Regions from separate parts of the Mus musculus genome. Here all the other regions are reported to be linked to region 1. Evidence: microRNA targets listed by miRTarBase, many of them from high-throughput screens and not tested one by one. Region 1 holds a microRNA gene; each other region holds the end of a gene's coding sequence. Distances are from middle to middle.

What was found. Region 1 holds the annotated microRNA mmu-miR-181a-5p (AACAUUCAACGCUGUCGGUGAGU, at 3,004-3,026, shown strand). A microRNA usually pairs through its seed, bases 2 to 8, with sites in the 3' UTR of a target mRNA and lowers its output. Matches are read on the target gene's strand: a 7mer-m8 pairs with bases 2 to 8, a 7mer-A1 pairs with bases 2 to 7 and ends in A, and an 8mer does both.
Region 2: miRTarBase lists Ammecr1 as a target of mmu-miR-181a-5p. Seed matches in the 3' UTR shown: 7mer-A1 at 2,051-2,057.
Region 3: the mRNA of Creb1 is a reported target of mmu-miR-181a-5p. Seed matches in the 3' UTR shown: 7mer-m8 at 3,279-3,285.
Region 4: the mRNA of Elavl4 is a reported target of mmu-miR-181a-5p. Seed matches in the 3' UTR shown: 7mer-m8 at 3,285-3,291.
Region 5: miRTarBase lists Tmem168 as a target of mmu-miR-181a-5p. Seed matches in the 3' UTR shown: 8mer at 3,145-3,152 and 7mer-A1 at 2,997-3,003.

What each region holds. Positions count from the first base shown.
Region 1 is chr1:137,963,465-137,967,780 of GRCm38, forward strand. Mir181a-1 (microRNA 181a-1) reads left to right here and starts at 2,991; the gene lies at 2,991-3,077. Mir181b-1 (microRNA 181b-1) reads left to right here and starts at 3,175; the gene lies at 3,175-3,254.
Region 2 is chrX:142,852,080-142,856,079 of GRCm38, reverse strand. Ammecr1 (Alport syndrome, mental retardation, midface hypoplasia and elliptocytosis chromosomal region gene 1) reads left to right here. Exons shown (of 6, transcript NM_019496.4): 6 at 433-4,000. The coding sequence ends at 547. Among named protein-coding and RNA genes, the nearest start is that of Ammecr1, 110 kb to the left of the region's middle.
Region 3 is chr1:64,596,829-64,600,828 of GRCm38, reverse strand. Creb1 (cAMP responsive element binding protein 1) reads right to left here. Exons shown (of 9, transcript NM_009952.2): 9 at 1-3,595. The coding sequence ends at 3,451. Among named protein-coding and RNA genes, the nearest start is that of Mettl21a, 19 kb to the left of the region's middle.
Region 4 is chr4:110,202,803-110,206,802 of GRCm38, forward strand. Elavl4 (ELAV like RNA binding protein 4) reads right to left here. Exons shown (of 7, transcript NM_010488.4): 7 at 935-3,899. The coding sequence ends at 3,530. Among named protein-coding and RNA genes, the nearest start is that of Gm33070, 52 kb to the left of the region's middle.
Region 5 is chr6:13,579,421-13,583,420 of GRCm38, forward strand. It overlaps Tmem168 (transmembrane protein 168), which reads right to left. Exons shown (of 5, transcript NM_028990.5): 5 at 1,269-3,914. The coding sequence ends at 3,367. Among named protein-coding and RNA genes, the nearest start is that of Tmem168, 27 kb to the right of the region's middle.

The DNA of each region.
Region 1 (4,316 bases):
CAGAAATAGACATGGACATTAAGAAGTGGCGTCTTGAGAACACCAACTCCAGTCATTCTGGAATCTTCTTCATCATATTTCACAGAGGGCATGCGCTTGCTTTGGAAAGGAGGAGGCAGTAATGTTTCCTACTGCGAGTATGACATTTCTTACTTCTTGCATTTTGAAAAGAGTCATATTCACAGCAGAAAACTAGTTTTTAATGAGCTTATGAATGTGTTCCTACCCCAGACCACGAAGACAATTTCCAGCTGACTAGAATTTAAGGATGAAATGTGCGTGGCAGCGCCATCTCCTTCCCTCTCATTTGTCAGATCAATGCCCCCATCCCAATTCAGGTCAAGGCATCCGGCAGAAGAGAGGGCTGCAGAGTGACAGTGAGATGCTCTATTTCACACACTTGCCCTCTGGAAAGGACTGGCAGAGGCAGTCACTTAAATTAAATACAGGTCATCAAACAAGATATACAGTCTATTTCTAAAACAGACAAGCCCAGCATCCCGAATCCCTGTGGCCTTTTACTGAGGCGCACTGTGCTTCTTTTTCATGCTCCTCTGTCAATTCATGTTAAAGTTTGCTTTGCTTAAAAGTGATATTTCATGTATTCTCTGACCCTCTTGCTCAAAGCAAAGAAATTGCTTTGGTTTATTTATGACCCGCTAACCTTAAGCAAAGCTGAACTTCTTAATGCTTCCAAAGCCCCGGGAGGAGAAATAAAAGCTAAAGTAAATTTGGCAATGGTGCAAGTCAGTTTTAACCTGTCCAGAAGACCTTCCAAAAATTATGAAGGGAGAATGGTTGCCTACGTGCACACAAATGACATATTTCTGGTGGCTCTTGATTCAGGAAAAACTGCAAGGAAGCAGATGGTTAACACCAATTTAGAATCCTGGAATCTTAACATTTTCTAAAAATAGTCAAATAAGACTCGACACCTGACAGAAAATGTAAAATTTCAATACTGTCCAACATTAATATTCCAGCCAATTATCAAATTTGGAAAATAACAGTGCAGACAAGGTTAGCTAGTAAAATAGTGATTGGAACCAGCATTGTAGAAAGCCGAGGAAAGGTAAGCTAAATCAGCAAGTAGACATCTTTCCCCTGTAGAATACCGTCCTGAAGTTATTCTCTTACTGTGAGGCAGGTGCAGCAAGAGCAGAGGTGCTTTTCCTCATGGAGAGTGAGTTTAAGTTATTGAGAGGTTTTTCTCATCAAAAACTATAGCCATGAGAAAAGTACATGTTTCATTGGATAAATAGGAGTTAAAATATGTCAGTGATGTGATGTTTAATCTAATTTCTTACTAAACACCAATCACTTTCAATCTCCTAAGAACTTCATGATAGTATTCTCCGTAATTTTATTCTAAGAATTTGAGAAATTTGGACTTATATTTTCTACAGAGAATTTTAGAAGGTTCTGGAAACCCCTCACATTGCGGTGCTTTGCTATTAATTGTGATTCGGATGGAAATTGCTTGATCGTAGTTCCAATTTTGTATATTGAGATAAGGCAATGATCATGGCTTAGAGTCTCAGCTCAGCAGCCTTGAAAAAATGATATCAAAAGCAATGACAGGTATGTATAGAAGCAATGGGATGCTGGCCTGAATATGATAGTGCAGTGGTCAAGCAAGGGAACATGAGCAACATGCATTCTGGTGAAACTGATAACACAGATGGTCCCAGGAAGACTTGCTTTCCTTCCACAAGAGACAGCCCTCTGCAGGAAAGCTATCTCAAAGGAAGCCACACAGGACTATTCAGATTCATCAGTTTTATGTCTTGTAACTATCTGAAGTCTGAATGCATGCCATCAGCAGATCGTTACCTTATCTACCTCAAAATACCAGCCAGAGACACTTGTCCTGTAATCTCTTCGTGTACAAGATAATAAATGATTACAGGTTTAGCATACAATATTCTAAGTAAATAAAATGAATATGTATAAAAATTTGGACTGAATGGTTCACCAATATTTTATTAATAGTTACACACACACACACACACACACACACACACACACACACACACACACACATATATATATATATATATATATATATATATATATATATATATATATACTTATTAAAGCCACTTAAGAGTCTACATAAGTATAATGTAGTAACTTTCTACCCTAGTTTTGAGGAGTACAAAGGGATTTTTGTTTAAGTTGATATTTGAAATCAGTTTTGAAGACATGCTCAATAGAGTTCATACTAACTTGTAAATGCACTTCATTTCAAGAACACCTAGGAAATGGATAGAAGTTACTGCCAGATCCACTCAATCAAAACAAATAACAATATTAGGATATAATAACCAAAGTGAGAGGAGTTGAATTTCAGGCAGTAGGCATAGGTTGTATTAATTTTCATTGTAGTTTAAAGTCTTGTGTCATAAGCAAAGAAAGATGTGCTAAATTGGTTTGATTCCTTGATTGTTTTAAAAATAAGTATGTTTAAAAGAAATTATACTAATTAAAATGCCTATTGTAAAATAAATGCTTATTCCATGCACATTGTAAACATAGAAGTTCAAAATTGTTAGCAATGTAACTTGAGAAAACCTAAGTGGTTTCTGCTTGATTCTGCATGACCTACATGCGTCCTTGCAGTTCTTATTATATACATACCAATATTTAAATTATGAGATACTTAGATACTATTTGTTTTGCTTTTTGATAGTTCCAATTTTGTTGAATGATAAATTCTCCCTGTCTTTAACAGCCTGTAACTAAGCTCCCCCCAAAAGGACTTTTCTTCCCTTTTGAAAAAAAAAAATCCGATTCTTTTCTTTGACACAGCACAAAGTGGAGGTTTGCCAAGCTCTGGGCTGGAGGAATCCTGCTTCTTTTCTTCTGTACTCTTTTGAAATGGTTTAAAATGTGTGACAGGTTTGGTTAAAGGATTGGGCTTTCCTCTGCCTCCCTCCTGCTCCAGACTCCCACAGATACTGTTTAAATCAGCACATCTCTGCCTCACAGGTTGCTTCAGTGAACATTCAACGCTGTCGGTGAGTTTGGAATTCAAATAAAAACCATCGACCGTTGATTGTACCCTATAGCTAACCATCATCTACTCCATGGCCCTCTGCGTTTGCTGAAGACAGAACCGCAAAGCAGGACCCGACAGGATTCTCCCCGCCTCTTCAGAGACTATGTTTACAAAGGTCACAATCAACATTCATTGCTGTCGGTGGGTTGAACTGTGTAGAAAAGCTCACTGAACAATGAATGCAACTGTGGCCCCGCTTTTTGCTGTCGCAATCAACAGACGTTCCCTCCCTAATAGAGGTCCTGGGGGTATTAACGCCGTTTCTCGGTTTAACTTCTGCTGTCTGAACTTTCAGGTTTGTTTATTCAATTCATATCAAGTCCTATTTCTGTGAGGAAGTCACTAATTTATATAAGAATACTGCTTTTCTATACTCCTGGGGGTTACAAATGGGGCATTTCTTAAAAATGCTAAAGTGTTGGATGCCCAGAATCAACTGTGTAGCCCTGGGTTGGCACGGCTTCCTGCTCTGCTGTGCTGGTGGGAGGAAGAACCAAAGAAATATCTTACTTCCTGCCCCGTTATCCGTCACATTGTTACACAGAAAATAACCATCCCCTCATCTTTCATTAGATTTCTTGGTCAAAATGGGCTTGAAGCAAGAGGGAATTCTTTTGCTCTGCATAAAGAATCGCTGAAATGGCTCTACTCTCTATGGAATTGGTAGGCAGAGGGATAGTACCTCAATAGCCAAGTACTTTGTTATCCAGGGGCTCATTATAATCATGCAATAGATTTGTTTCCCCAGAGAGACCTCAGATTTAAGATTATAGTTCATCATCTTTATTTACCCTCTACTTTCTTCTGAAATGGTAGACTTGATTCCAGGGACTGTCTTCAAGCAAGTGTGTGTGTGTGTGTGTGTGTGTGTGTGTGTGTGTGTGTGTGTGTGTGTTTCCTAACTAGTTTGGCTCTATAATTTCAAAAAGAACATCTGTCATTAAGGTTCATCACCTCCAATAGTAAGTACAGTGGTTGGAGTTAATATTTATAACAGGATGTTCAGCATACAGTGTGTACATGGTACCTAGTACATGGTACCTAATAGATTTTAATTCGTTGGGAAAAAATCTATCAAACATATTGTCCTTTCTCTCTCTTGATCAGTTTATTATGATATACATTCAACTCCCACTACAGAAATCCATTCCTGGGACCTTGCTCTAGTGTTCAGAATATTCATTCCCACAGTATTTTACGTAGTTAGTTCACAAGTGCCTGCCTTGCTTGGGGCATCTCTATCTATCATAACTCC
Region 2 (4,000 bases), not on the chromosome of region 1:
ACAAAGTGAGAGGGCTTCAGTACTGACGTGTAGCATAGAGCAGACCCAAGATGTGTGAACAAAGGAAGAGTAAAGGGGGAAGTGATGGAAGGTCTCTGCTATAAAAGGAGCCCAATGAATGAGATGTGTCTATGATGGCGATAGAGACATGATGGTAAAAGATAGCCTCTTCCTTGTTCCTTCCTGATAGCAAAGTGGGTAAAAGGGACAATGTCATTCCTGGAGTAGAAGGGCAGAAAGAGCACTAAGATCAGTGTTCTGATCTCAGCTTTGCTGCTTACCAAGTCTGTGACTTTGGGCTACTAATTGCTTCTCTCATGGCTTCTTGTTTCCCACTATATAAAATGATCTCATAGAGTCCCTCTGGCTCTGATAATAGCATACCATGTGTTTCTCAATGTTAACTTTTCTCTTCCCCGCCTTCCCCTTCAGGTACCGTAGTGAAAAGATGACCTTGAGTTATGCTGAATACCTTGCTCATCGCCAGCATCATCATTTCCAAAATGGCATCGGGCATCCCCTTCCGCCATACAACCATTATTCCTGACACTGAGCCGCACAACCAGTCACTGGGCCTCTCTGCAGACCTCTTCCCAGGAGACCCTACACCTTCTTGGTCTAGCTATCTCTTTTACTGTACCATTTTATGATGATAGTTTCCGTTGCCATGGTGAAGCTTCGACATTGTTAGTTAAGAGCATCATGGTAACGGGTAGGACAATGGCATTTGTTAAGAAGATCCTGTTTTATTATTTTAGATCACTGAATTTTTTTTTCAGCACATACAGCTTTTGAAGTTTTCTTTCCTTACAATATTAGGTATCTTTTTTTGCTTTGCTATCTCAGACAGGTTTCTGTCTTTCTTTGTTCCTTTTTTTCTTCCTCCTTCCTTCTTTTGACTGTGGATGGAAGAAAGTATGCTGTTTCTGAGGGTTTATTAGATTTGTCTTTAGTATTCTTCGGTAAGATTGTCATTTTTTGATAGCTGAGTTGGGGATTAATTCTTAACAAATTCAGGTATTTGTATATTACTCATGAATTTGCCTAAAATTCTATTTGCTATGACAGCTTAGTATTTGGGTCAAGTACACATTTTTTCCCATGGTTGAAATGAGTGAGCTTTAGAGTAAGTAATGAACATTCAGAGGTCCATGATAGGACTTGTCACAGAGAGCAAGGAACTGTTTACGCCTTCTGTGCTTCTGTGTTACTGTAGAAGAGACTGCCTCATGTTATAGAACAATTTACAACCTACAACACTGTTTTAGAAAAGCATAAGCTACCTTTCAAATGGGCCGCGGAAATCATTGTGAAAGGCAGCATATATTGGGAAGAGATTAGATGCAGAACTTAGTGCCTTTGAGAAGACTATAATTAAGTCAAATTAAGAGGGGTTTAAAAAGGCAATTTAGAGAATATTCTTATAAAATTTTATTGTTTCTATATAAGAAACAACAGATTACACAAATTCCTTACTCCAAAGTATTTTTTTAGCTGAAAAAAATTATTTTGAGCAAATAACCAAAAAGACATTTGTCTATTTTGTATTCATTTAAATTTGTTAGCTTTAGGTTTCAATGAGTCATAATTGGCCAGAGACAACTTTAGCTACTAAGACATGATAAAGATAATCTAGTGAAACAAAAGTTCATACATACTATGATTTCAAATTTGTCTATCACAGAGACAATGCTGAGTTTCAGAGATACTACAAAGAGTTTGAATCTCTTTCTGCACTACAGCCTTTTGATAGAAACACATTTCTGTGTTGACAGATAATATGGTAGACCTGTAAAGATGGCATTCAGATATGTTAATTAGAGCCTAGCTCATTTGCAGGGCTATACTTCCCATGGCACAAAGAAAACTTACTGATGTCAATGGGAAACCCTTTTGTTTATCCCCAGGAAAACTCATGATGATTCTGGCAAAAGATGACCTTTGTTTTATGGTAGTATATATATAGGTATATAGAGATATATATATTTGGGAAATATATAATTTTTTCAAACAGGAAGTCATTAGAACAAGTGGTGAGTGAAATGCTGCAGAATGTATATTCTACAACTATGACATACCGCTAATTATTGAAATAGTCAAGCTTATACATTTAATTGCTGTGACAAGTGACAGACTGGTAGTTCAGAAAATCCTTGTCTAGTTTGTAATTGGCTGAATTCATTGTCCTTGCCATCAGGGCAAAGTACACAGCTTCAGTTTTTGAGAGTTCTTTGAAGTTTGGTATTTCTTCATCCACAGAATCCATTGTTGACGTATCCATTTTCAGTTATGATGCCTTAACTAAGAAGCTACTTGCTAGCCTGAAAGACAGTCTCAGTAGCCAGTTCCATTGAATACAGAGAAAACATAAGCTGCTGAGCTTTAGCATGGGCTTCTAAGTCCCGTTGTTTCTCCTTGGACACACTTTGTGGGTGGATTAGTCTTTCAGTATAGAAGCAAGCTGCTACCTGACATTTTCTTGCCCTTATAGGGAAAGTGAGCACAAGCTGAATGATATTGTCTGCTAGGAAAAGAGAGAGCGAGCGAGAGAGAGAGACAGAGAGAGAGAGAGACAGAAAGACAGAGACAGAGAGAGAGAAGAAAGGAAAGGGGAGAAAGAAAAGAAAAGGAAAGAGAAACGGAAAAAAGAGAAGTAAAGATAACATAGAAACTGAAGAGAGACAGACTAGACCAATCTTGTTGTGAAATCCATCTACTCCATCATCTCATCATTTCAGAGCTCCTCAGCCCGGGGGAGCGTACGGCTAGTTTTTTGTTGTTGTTGTTGTTTTTAAAGAAAAGATCTATCACATACATATATGCGTGTATGTCTCCATATACTTACACATGCATACATGCATATGTGTGTGTTTATGTATTTAACGGTGCTAATCAATCTTGAGCAGGTCACGTGACTGGTCATGCGGACTCTAAAATCATATCAGATTTTTTAAAAAATCCTTGATATATGCAGATATTATACAGATTTTCTTACCGGTGTAATAATGTTCTACTGAAGAATAACCATCCTGCAGGCTTCAAAGGACGAGGTCAGCAATATTTCCCACCATGGCTTGGGGGGAAAGGATAGTTTTGTCTCCTTTTGTATTCAAGTTGATGCATAGTGCATTTTTGTGTCTAAGTAGCTGTTGACTAAAAGACTTTGTAGTGTAAAGGGTGTTATACAAACTATAATGGTGTGCTTCAAACAAACCAATGCTAGGCCCTTTCACTCTTGTTGTATATGACAAAGTTGTTAAATATGTGGTTTGAAATAACTTTGAACATGTGGAAATATGTAGCATGTGTCTTTAACTCAGACAAAGATTCTAATTGCACAAGTTGTGTTCTAGCCAGTTGTGGTTTATTTGTTCAGAAACACAAATGTGAATTGTACTCTTTATCACCAGAATATTGTATGAGTTCCGTGATCTTTAAACAGCTCAGAAGTAATACTTGAACTTCATTTGAATAGCACAAAGTTTACAGAGCCCCTTTTAAATGTTAATTAGTTCCAGTTAAGTTTTCCTTTAATTTTTTCTTTTTTTTTTTTTTTTCTTTTTTCAAATGCAACTGGGTATTTTCTTGGAAAACAATGTGTAGTTTATTTTTGGTATGTAGCAAAAGGCTTCCAATTCTGGAAGGTTTTATTGTTCTTAAACAAGGTCAGCCAGGTACCAGATTCTAAAAAGAACAATTGCCCCCCCCCTCAAGTGGCCTTCTGATTGCACGAATGTGCTACTCCCCTCTCCAATCCCCCCTCCCTTGAGGAGGTCAGTGAAAGTGATGGAGGAAGTGCAAGGCTTGCTCTCCCCTCCCCTCCCCTCCCCTCCCCCCCACACCTCACCTAGGATGTCCACTCCAATGCAAATGGTTCCATTGCACACACAGCACACCGCACACCGGGAAGTTTGTATACTGGCCTCTTTTCCTGTCTTCAAATGTGCAAGAATTTGAAAGTGTCATCTGGAATAGGTTCCATCTCTTATGTGTGTTAGAG
Region 3 (4,000 bases), 73 Mb from region 1:
TAGAGAAACCGATTTGTGTTACTAGCTGACGAGTCAACAGAGAACCAAAGCTTCCTAAACAGGAAAGGCAACATTTTGACTGAAGTCACTTCAAGTACGTAAAAGCATTCCGGGTTATATAAATGTTTGTTTCTAAGCCCCAATATTTGTATGATTCCATGTCACCCTAAATGGTCGAAAATAGTAGGGAGGAGTCCTGAGAGGCAGAGACCGGCTTCAGCCAAGAGGGCTTCTGGCTGGACAGCCTGCCTGACTGGTTTGTGCTTTAGACAGTAGCACTGCTTGCTGGCCTACCATCAAAACACATCTTGACAAAAATCCCTGTTCAAATGAAACATGAAAAGTCTTTGCCCAAAATGATTCTTGAAACAATTCTCTTAAAACCTTTTTTCAAAATGTTCTTACCAATTTTATAGCTGCCAGAAACAAAGCAGGGGGAAAAGAGCTTGGGGTTTAGGAGTTTTTAAGTGACTGGTAACATACTCAAAAGCATCAAGCCAAACAAAACAAAAACCTAATAAAAAACTGGAAGAAAAGAGAAAACCCAGTTGTGAGTGCTGGAGTAAAACAGTCACTGAAACACCAGAAGAGATGCAGGAGAAAGCACAGCAAAGTGGAATCTCACCGGACCTCAATACGCTATAATACTCAGCATTCCTGACATACCAGCTCTCAGAGCATTTAGATGATATACTGTATGTATGTATATATGTACACATATATTACAAAATGCCACGTCCCCACCCACACTATACCATCTAAACAAGCACAGCACCTAGGACAATATGATGGTTGCTAATATGGTACTTGCTTTTGATAAAGAACTTAAATTGTATCTCATATCAATTTTTTAAATATGAACATATTGGATCTAGCCCTTTCTAAACCATTTTTCAGTTAAACACTATCAAAGCTTGAAAACTCAGAAGAGTAATATATCAAAAATAAACCTATCCCCATTTCATTTTTATTAGAGTTAATCTGCCCTATAGATAAAAGTGCCACTATATATATGCAAAGTGAGCAGTACCAAACTTCTATTCTCTAGGCAAATCAGTAGCATATGTACAGATTCCTATGACAGTTCCATTCCCTTTTGGCCAACATGAAGAGAAAACATTACCGATAATGTGGCCACATACAATTTTGGATATAAGAGTTTTTAAAAAATTATGTCATTTTCTTAATAAAGATTCTCCACATAGCTCAAAAACAAGTTTTTGTTTTTGTTTTTCTCATTCTCATGTTAAAAAAAAAATCCAGCTTGCATTAAAGAGGCTTTGATTTCTTTCTGTATGAACTGAAATTTCAAAGTCAGGTTTCACAACACCATATATTTCTCACATTATCAAGTAACTGGTGTCAAACTAGTACAGTCATGCTCCAAGCATAAAGACCCAGGCCTCTGTAAATTAATATCCATCCAACTAGGAAGTATGGCTGAGACTGCCTTGGTCTCTAAAGGGTTAAGGAGACCACCTGTTTCCTCATTATGTAGAAAACCTCGACTTTTGAAGATAGACACTTAGAGATTACAACTTCTGCACGCTAGGCAAATTTTCCACTTGTGACATTTAAAATGTTCAATCTGACATTCTGACTTAATGTGAAGTAATTCCAGTTTGTTGACAGATTTGTGATTCTGCTTCCTTTTTGTTTCACCACGTTTAGCAAATGATACATCTACTTGCTAGCACAGACAGCTTTTATGCTATCTCCTTCCCAGCAAGCTCAGCAGGACAAAGATCAAACTTTAGCCGTTTGAAAGCCTTCTGGAGAATCTGGTGAACTGTCCAGACAGAAGGATTATTACATCACTCAACTCCTAGAATCATGTCCTTCACAAACTGTTCATCCTTGAAAAAAGACAATGGTTTGTTATAAACAACGTAGAACATTTACAGATAGCAACCTAGTCTTAGCTTAGAAATGGGCCAAACAGTTCCCGCTCATACGTATACTGATATTAATATTAACTTTCTTAATATCCCAAAGCAAATATAAGACACTCTTCTGAGTCTGAGTTCTTCCTCAAACGTGAAGTAACCTAACATGCCAGCCTCCACTGTCCTCATATTTGTCTTTTAAAGAGGTAACTCTTAGATTTTATTAGGTTTAATAAAAAAAAAATGAGTTATTACTAAGTCTTATCAGAAACAATGTTACACATAAATGTAGACTATAGGTAAGGATGTAAGTAGAAACATCTTCAGAAACAGAACAGCTTTTGGATAGTTAAAGCAGTACCACCTTTTTTAGGAGAAAAAAAAAAGTGTTTGCCAAATATTGTACCATAGCACACACTCCAATGTCTGAAGGAAATTACTTTTCTTGTGTGCATTTAACACAATGTTTTAGAATCACATCCTTGTAACTTCTTTGATTTAAAAAAAAAAATCCCAAGAGATTCTCTGATAAAAATATGACTATAGAAAAGGTTGTCTATTTAGTACTTTCCATCACTTTGGCTGGACATCTTGAAAACGCTCCTGTTGGCTGCACAGTGTAAATGCAGCAGTGGACTAGGTAAATGAGTGACAGTATGAGGATTCGGAAAGCAAGGACAAAAGTCTTTATTTATTAAACACCTTATTGTATAACTCAAGGAGTTAGCTTCCTGGCCAGCACCTACTCATTAAGACTTAGTACTCACCAGAATAAGCTTTATAGTATGATTTTAACTTAACTCAAAATTCAAAACCATGCTTTCCATTCAGTTGGTTACTTCTGTTAATGTATTCAAACTGCTGAACACACAGAACTGAATGAAGAAGCAACAACTGCCCTACAGAGGAACTGTAGCCAATACCGTGCTTCTCAGCACCAAGGACAACTTGTCAGTGCTGAAGAAAGGAACATACATATAAAGTTTACTCCCAACACCACACTAATATCCTTATTTAAAGGATGTTTTTAATAGTTCGACATAATTCACAATGAAAGTGTAAAAACATTAATTTGGCAGTCAACACTTCTTCATTGCACCTTCCTTACTTTCCTGTGTGGCCCACACATTACGTCAGCTCAGCAGGCTGGGTAACTGTCCCTAAGGCAATCATGGAGCTCAACAAACCTTGAAGTCATTAATAAGAAAACAAACAAAACAAACCTAAAACAAAAATAAGAAAGCCAAGATTTCATTTTCCTCATTTCCCCCAACAATTTACAAATAAGCAAATGATTACTTCTTGAGGGTGGTGGAGACGGAGGGCAGAAGTCTCTTCATGATTCCTGGCGCTGCACATTTCTTGAGGGCAGAAGTGGAAGTAGTTTTTGGAACATTCACAGTTTAATGCAAAAGCAGAAATGAATGAAATTCTGTAGTTGCTTTCAGGCAGTTTTGCGCATAGAAAAAAAGAAATGTTTAGAAAATAAATGTTTACTTGTCTTTCTGGTTGTGGCCAAGCCAGTCCATTCTCCACCGTAACAGGAGAGAACTTAAATCCCAAATTAATCTGATTTGTGGCAGTAAAGGTCCTTAAGTGCTTTTAGCTCCTCAATCAATGTTTTGTTTTGGTTTTCAAGCACTGCCACTCTGTTCTCTAAACATTTCACATATTCTTTCTTCTTTCTACGACATTCTCTTGCTGCCTCCCTAAAAATGAAAAACACAAAAAAATTTATGTTCATAAACTCCATTCCACTAATTTTAGAACAGAATGTTTTCTAGAGAAACAGCTGAAATAAGCAAACGTTCAGTATTATACAAGAAATGCTCAGGAAATGATACTGGCATTGCCTGATGCGGCAGCACACTGGTAATGCCCCTTGCTGCTAAGCTGGACAATCTGAGCGCAGCCCCTGAACCCCACATGGCTGATGGTGAGAACCTACTGCTTCTTCTTTACTTATCTGCTCCCATGCATGTGTACACGCACTAGGTAAAAAATGTATCTTTTCCAACTACCTAAAAATAGCTCAGTAGGTAAAGTACCAACGCACAAGCAGTGGACTGGATTCAGATGCTTAGCACCCTGATAAAAGCCCACAACGGGCTCAG
Region 4 (4,000 bases), not on the chromosome of region 1:
AGTGTCAGTTTACGGATGGTGGATGTTTTATTGGGCATTATGAATTTTCAATTAGTGAGAAAATGGAAATGAAAGACAGACAGTAGATCATCAAGGAAGGATCACATTCAGAAACGGATAAAACACTCATTCTGTAAAGTTCAGGGCAGATTTTAACGTGACTTCATGATAAGGAAGACACTTTTTAACCTTCATAGGTCGTGGATAAGTCCTGACCTTTTTACACTGCACAAGCAAGTCTCTGTGCCGAGTTCCTTCTCAAATAGAAAGTCATGTCTTTGCTTCTTCTAAATAAAAGTGAGCTCAATGATAAAAGATGATCTTTCTTGTCAGAACAAGTAGTCCGCATCCTCCATAGGTTACTCGACTCATGGAGCCTTGCCCGCATCCCCTGTGACATGTGGATGATGCTAGCTGCTCTTCACAGACTGCTGAGAGAATTAAGTGACAGAATATATATAGTAATCCCCACACAGCCTGGCTGAAGCATTATGGGTGCTTTGTAAATAGTGACCTTTGTCTTCCTAACATGCCACAGGTATTCTTATAAATAACTGATAGGAACATGTCATAATGCCACAGGAAATACCAAATCTTCTGGCTTACCAAATAGACAGTGTGCCTCAAACTTTAAAGGGCCTGTGATTCATCCCGGATCTGCTTCTGTATAAATTTGCCTTCAGCCCGAGACTCTGCATTTCTAACGGGCTCTCGGAGGACAAGGTACTGCCTGTTAGGGACCATACTTTTAAGTAGCATACAATTAGGGCAATGACTTCTAAATACTGAGTAACCTTGACAGAGCGGGCTAAGGGGCAAAACAGAACTTTACTCTATTCCTTTATTTATGTAACGAGAGCATATCAGGGAACTCTGCATAGACTATGGAAAAAAAAGTTCGAATAAACACATTTAAAAATTTGGGAAGCTCAAATTCATTCTACACACTTTCATTTATTGTCTGGACAGATAAAGTACAAATAATTCAAACACAACAAGATTATGAAAAAAAAACATTTACAATACTTTCCCTCAGAAATCATCTAAACTAGCAAGATTAACATGAAGTCATTCATTTATAACTAAAGTATACAACTGCCTGGTCCTAAGATTTTTTTTCCTTTTTTTTCCCTCAGATTGAACACATCATAGAGAAGAGATTTTGGCATGCCTTTCCCATGAATGCTTAGCAAATGCATCAGAACTTTGCCAGCAAACTGCATTCATTCATAGCAGGTGACATATAAAGGTTTCCCTGAATGTTGAACGAGTGTTCTCTGAACTGAAATCTGGTGTTATTTATTTTTCTCCAAAAACCGAAAAGAGGAAAAAAAAATAGAAAAAAAATTTAAAGGAGTAGTCTATGATGCAGCCTCGGTTTTCGTTATCTGTCTACCACTACAACGACTACTACAAAGTTTGCCTCTTCAATGTGCAAACAACAGTCCTGTCTACATGCACTTAGTGGGTTCAGCATGGGAAAAAATGCACAAAATAAGCACAAGTTATAAATAACCATAACGTTTTATTACCATTAAGACTAAACTTGTATTGAAAAGATTTTATGTAACAAGACAAGAAAAGCAATAGCAAATTTTACTATCAACTAGATTATGCATAGCGAGTAACTGTTTCTATTACCCAGGGAAGAGCATGAACTCTTGTATTTTTTTTTGTTTCATTTTTGTTTTAAATATATAACCATACAAAGCACAAACGTACTAAAATGATCAGTGCACTGGACGTGGGAGTTTGCTCCCACGGTCCTTTTGTTCCCTTAGCTCTGTTTAGTTTTCCCCAATCTGAATTACATTAAAATAAAGACCCAGTTTTTTTTTTTAATTTTCTACTGTGCAGTAAGAAAAAATATTCACAACAAACATGACAATATATCAAACAATAGTTCTACACAAGTTACCTTGATACCTCTTTAACTGTCACTTAAATATCATAAGAAAACATCTTAAGACATATACAAACAAAACTAGCCAAGTGTTACAACTTATAATAAATTAACCAAAGGAAAAAAATAACTTTATATATATATTTATATTATATGTACACATACACACACACAACAGAAGGACACAGTAATATGCTTCTTCCCAAAGTCTAAGTAAACAAACAAGTAGTCTAGCCAATCTAGCTATATTTGATCTTGGCCAGAGGCATCATCATCACATCTGCAATTAAATAAATAAGTGTTTCAAGCAACATAAACAGTGTTTCAAATGTACCCACACAGCCCAATTTTATCAGCACGGGCTACAAAGTGAATTAGAAAATTGCTTAACGAATGTAAAGCAAATGTATCTTGTGTCTCCTCTCCTAAACACGCTTACATTTAACTATGATACTAAGATATGTAAATAATTCTGTAGCACCTACTGCTCAAACTAAGGAAGTTTTAGATTAAAAGGAAAATGAATCTTTTTAATTTTTGTTCTGCTGACATCCCATACTGATGACTTAAAGAAAAACTGTCTTTCAACTCATCTCCTTGCTTTTGGGTTTTGACTGTGGGGAACTGTGGTACCCTGGGTAGAACGAACACTCCTTTTCCCTAGCAATTAATATTTTTTATTATTATTACATGCTATGAAAAGATATGAAGATCATCTGTTTATAGCCCATCCTTCAAAAAACAGTCTACGAATCCAGTTTAAAACACACATCTTGATCTCTAAAAAGTTACCAGTGCAGTATGAACGCGACAAAGTTGTCAATTTCCCCTAAATTAGCCAGTCAAAATATTTTTTCTCAAATCCAGATTCTCTTGTAAAAATTCTTTATATTTTATAAAAATAGATTTTTCTTGAAACCCATTTTCAGCAAAGAGACCACCTCTTTGGCAACAATGTTAATGTTATTAAATTGTTAATGTCATCAGGTACACCCCCTTTCCCCGTCCCCTAACAGAAGACTGTTTTAGTTCACATGATATAAAAGAAAAAGGAAAAATAAAAAAATTTGCAAAAGTTTTTTTTCATTTTTGCAATTTTTATTATTCCTCTTTAATTTGTGTGGGGGTTTTTTAACCAATCTGATTGGATCAACATTTTTGACAAAAAAGAAAAATCTTTTTTTTCTTCCTTTGAATTCCATTACTTTGTAAAAATTGTTTGTTATTTTTTTGTGTTTTTTGTTTTTCTTCTTCAAATGAGCGAATGGTCATCTTAAAAAGACCCACCTTCAAGGAAGGTGGTAAAGTTAGCTGGCTGGGTAAAAATCCCTGCACATTGCTATCTATGTATATTATATTCAACAACGACAGCTATGAAAGAACATTCAATGCATCAAAGGTATTTTTTTGTTTTTTTTTTCTTTTTTTTTCTAAGCATTATAAAATCCTTTCCTGGTACACCTCAGGATAATCCAATGTTTTAATACTTAGGCAACGCGGGCTTATAAAGTCCATGGTTGAATATAAGCCTTGGAAAGTTTGTCTCTCTCTTTTGTGTATGTGTGTGCGCGCATGTTTTGTTCGTATATATTTATATATATATTTTAATAAGTAAGGGTGAGAAATTCAGGATTTGTGGGCTTTGTTGGTTTTAAAGGAAACTTGCAACACTCTGTCTCCCAGGCGATAGCCATTGAGGCTGGCGATGGCCATGGCTGCCTCATCGTAGTTGGTCATGGTGACGAAGCCGAATCCCTTGCACTTGTTGGTGTTGAAGTCACGGATGACCTTGACGTTGTTCACTGCGCCAAAGGGGCCAAAGAGCTGCCAGAGGACACTCTCATCAGAATCAGGGGACAGGTTATAGACGAAGATGCACCAGCCTGTCCCTGTGTGACCAGGGATGTTCATTCCCACAAGACTTGTCATCCCGTCAATGGTGATTGGGGAGAACCTGGGGGGACAAGCAGAAGGGGGGACTGGTCCAGACATCAGTCTGACCATGGATGACACACAGATGCACAGACACAGACACGGGGCAAAGGGCTGAGTGAGTGTTTGCAGGAGAGTCTTCAGGGTTTCAAAACCAAAATGCAA
Region 5 (4,000 bases), not on the chromosome of region 1:
AACTTCTGTTTATGCCTGTCATCTACTCTGACCACCTCTCCTGGGTGCATGTGATTCATACAGATGTGGGAAAAATCCATCATACCAGATTTATGCCAACAGCACTGTCTGTCTACTCTGCCAAGGAGGCTAAATGTGGTAACTGGGACAAATGTCACAGCATGGTGTTAATCCACATGAGACTATTTTTTTGAAACCCAATAGTTCCTCTAAAGATTTTGCAGATAGTTTTTAGTACAAAATGAGGGATGACTAGAGGCAGGATACTGCTGAATGGTAAACCAGTCTCATGCTCATAGAGTGATAGATTAGCTCTGAAAAATATATGGAGATTTAATTAGAAAGGAACAAAACCAAAGAGAAAAGAAAACAAAAACCAGGACTTGAGATGGTTGAGAAAGTGAAGTGATTTTGTAAGACAAAAGCAATAGGAGGGGAGACAAGTGAGGAGCTCTGCAAATACCAAAAGCACTGGCAACGTTCTGGGAATAAGGAAGCAGGGAAATCAAGAGGAAAGCTCGGAGTAGCCAGCAGAAGAGTGCACACATACATAGGCTATAAGGGAATGGAGCAACACGTAGGGCAAGGTGGACTCTTCACTGGCACTTGCTGAACTGAGTAATACACAAAAGGCACCTTTCAGTACATGAATGCTAGACACACGTGCAGAGACAACTGCTAAGGAAGACATCTGAGAATAATCAATGACTTACAGACTTACAGTTCTCACACGTGAACAAGGCTCTGGAACACAGCTGACGGACCCGGCAGTGATCTTCAGGTTAATATACTAATTATAAAGAGAAAGGGTTAGAAAATAGACCAACATACTAAGGGGTGTCATGAGTAGTAACAAGAAAGTCAATAGTACTATAGAAACCAAACATACAGGGGGGTAAGTAGTTAAAAGATGCTCTGGAAAGCAACAGAAATAATGCCTACTCACTTGACAATAGGGAGATAATTGGTGAGTTACCAGGAGTAATGTAAGCGGACTGCTGTGTGTGGGGCTTGGGTTGCTATGGGTATAATATACAGTGAAAGTTGAAAAAAAATGTGAACTTTTGTATACAAGGAACATGTTTGTGTACATACTGCTGTACATACATTTATAACCCATACAATGTAAGCCTGAAGGAGTTCCCTGTCAAAGCCTCAAGAACGCTCATCCTACCATGAGAGGAAAAGGACAGCAGACACACTACAGACATTTGATTGGAAAGTAGTAAAGGGTTCTGAACCAGAGCTGAGTCTGAGACACAATGTGGGTCTCAAATTAGCTTCAGAGCAGTTTATTATTCTGTCATTTTTGTAAGAGTCCACTGCCTTAGTTTCATAATTTATAAAATACAAATTTCTATGTTAAATTATTAAGAGCATTTGGGAAGGTGTAATAAAATCAATCACAGAAAAATACTTAGAATAATTAGATCATAGACAATACCCATGGCTGTGTATAGAGTTGTTTCATATGGAAAGGAAGAAAGGAATTGTAGGATTAGAGCTAGAGAGAGCAATGCCTTTCCACTTAGGTAGGGGAGCCTAGCTCCTGATACACAGATATGTGCACAGCAAGGTAACATCTCAACGCTAGTTTCCTTATTTAATTGTGGACCTGAAGAACCTAAAAATTATACAAAACTGATGTGAAATGGCACCCATCTGAAATTCAAGATGCACACAAATGAATGATTTATTCAGTGAAATTTACTATCTGTATTTCTAGTTGTAAAACAAGATTCATTTTTTAAAAAAAATATTGTATATAGGATGCCACTAACTTTCAATATTGTATCAATTCTTCAGTATTCTGGAATAAGGAAATATTTTCAAATCAACATGCCACCAAACATAAACTCTAAAAGCAAAGGCATTTTGTATAACTTCCACTTTTAATACAGTAAAATATTCAGGAACTCTTAATTTCACATTAAATGAAAAATTAATTTTTAACAAAATATTATTCAAAGTATTAAGAGTACAATATTCAAAACATAGAAATAGGCTGTAGCAATGCTGCATAGATAACAGTATACAAGTTCCCTGATGGTGTGACTTCTTTCTAAATAAAATGTCAGTTTTCAAGTCATTGGTAGAAAATGGTAGATGCATCCGTTACCTTCCCTCTCTGGGCATGGAAAAATGGCTTCAACGGTGAGAAGTCACCATGGTAACAAAGTCTAATCTCCACTTTAATTATACCTCCCTCTTTCAAAGATGAAAATCTAGAATGTAAGGATAATTGGAAGGGGACAGGAAGTGACTTACCTCTTAAGGAGATATCCTGATCAGCGCCTACTTTACTCCAACAAAACACTGAATTAAAGTTTACAAATTACAACCATACCATTATGCTTACCTAAAACTGCCAAAATGAATACTTTTTTACATAATACAATACAGGTATATAACAACAACAACAACAAAATGATCTGTTCCCATCCTTGACCTTCAGCAGAAAAAAGTTATTACAATAGGACTGAAAAGCAACTTTCATGGCAGAGTACTAACTCCTCATAAATACGTAAGACAGGAAGAATCGGTCAATGAGAAACTGATACATTTATTTTTGTAAGTGTGTACTTTTTGAAAAGAATGGCAATTTACTTGAAAGGAATTTGTAGCTGGAAATACTACTCATTAAGAAAACAAAATTACCCTGAGAAGGACTCTTAAATTTACCAGTATTTTCAAAGTCCCTCACTAACCATGAAGGAACACTTTGTAGCATGTAAGCTCTTATTGTTACCTACATTAACAATGCTTTCATCTCAAAGGCAGTTGGGGCTTTTCTGCTGTACTGTAAAGGTCATAGCCAAGACATCTGGGTGTGGTGGTAAAAGGGCATTTTGCAGTCATTATGAGCAGGTCTCTTCCTGCTCCAAGTATTTATACTTCTGCAAACAGTCCTGGGGCCAAACCTATATGAATCACACACATGAAAGAATCTCCTACTAAGTAAACTGGTAGTTCTCTTAAAACACACTTGTCTGGTCTACATTCTCTAACGGGTGCCTAGAAAATAAGGCATTAGGAATTGTCCATTGGCCACTCCAGAGCACAGACAACTGTGTTTCTTTTCATTGGAGACAAATGGAAAGTTATTTGAAAGTGCACTGTTACTTTTAACATCTCTTACACATTTACATTCAGCATTTTCATGACCCTCCATATACTTTTAGTATAAAATCATGCATATTCCCAATATCTTCCACATCCCATAATTACTTAAGAAAAGACAAAGTGAGAACAGCTACAAATGTAGCAAGATACTTTCCACAAATAAAAATACAGCATACAAAAAATGGCAAGTTACTGATAAATGGTAACATGAACTCTCAATAATAGCCTTCCTTGATGTCCACATTAAGATTTGACAAGTTTAAAGCCTTGTCCTGTGTCCAGCACTGTAGGAAGAAACCAACTCATTTTTAACCTTTTCAAGCACCTAAAACAAGCTTTGCAGACCCAAAAGAGGTTCAGGCCACATAACCAGTTGGCCAAGTGCACTAACGGATACGTAACCCGAGGGAAGTGTAACATCCAGTGCTTGGCCACATCGCTTCCTGTCGGCAGGTGCAGCGTGTAGTCGCTCCAGCGCTTTGACACGCCATACACGGCCCTCACTGTGCGCCCCTTCTCAGTCCAGCAGATGTTGTTTGTGGAGTTACAGTTGTATTCTACCCAGTCTCTAGTAAAGTCACCCAGCTGTGGCGGGTCAGCTTCTTCAATATCTACTGTCTTCGCCAGCTCAGCTCCCTGAACTGCAACATACTGGTCATTAATCTTTCTCACTTCTTTCACCCATGGGGTTGAATTCTCGCTGTCTAAGATGATGATAAGCCGGGAACAGAAGGAACCGTTCTTCTCTCTCCACCATTCTAAAAGCGTATCAAGGCGAAGTATGTCTCCACCTGTGGACAAGAATACAGTTGCTATAGCGGTGGTTTCTTAAGTCTGTTTCTTTAAATTTTTAGAATACTTAAACAACAGCGATAAC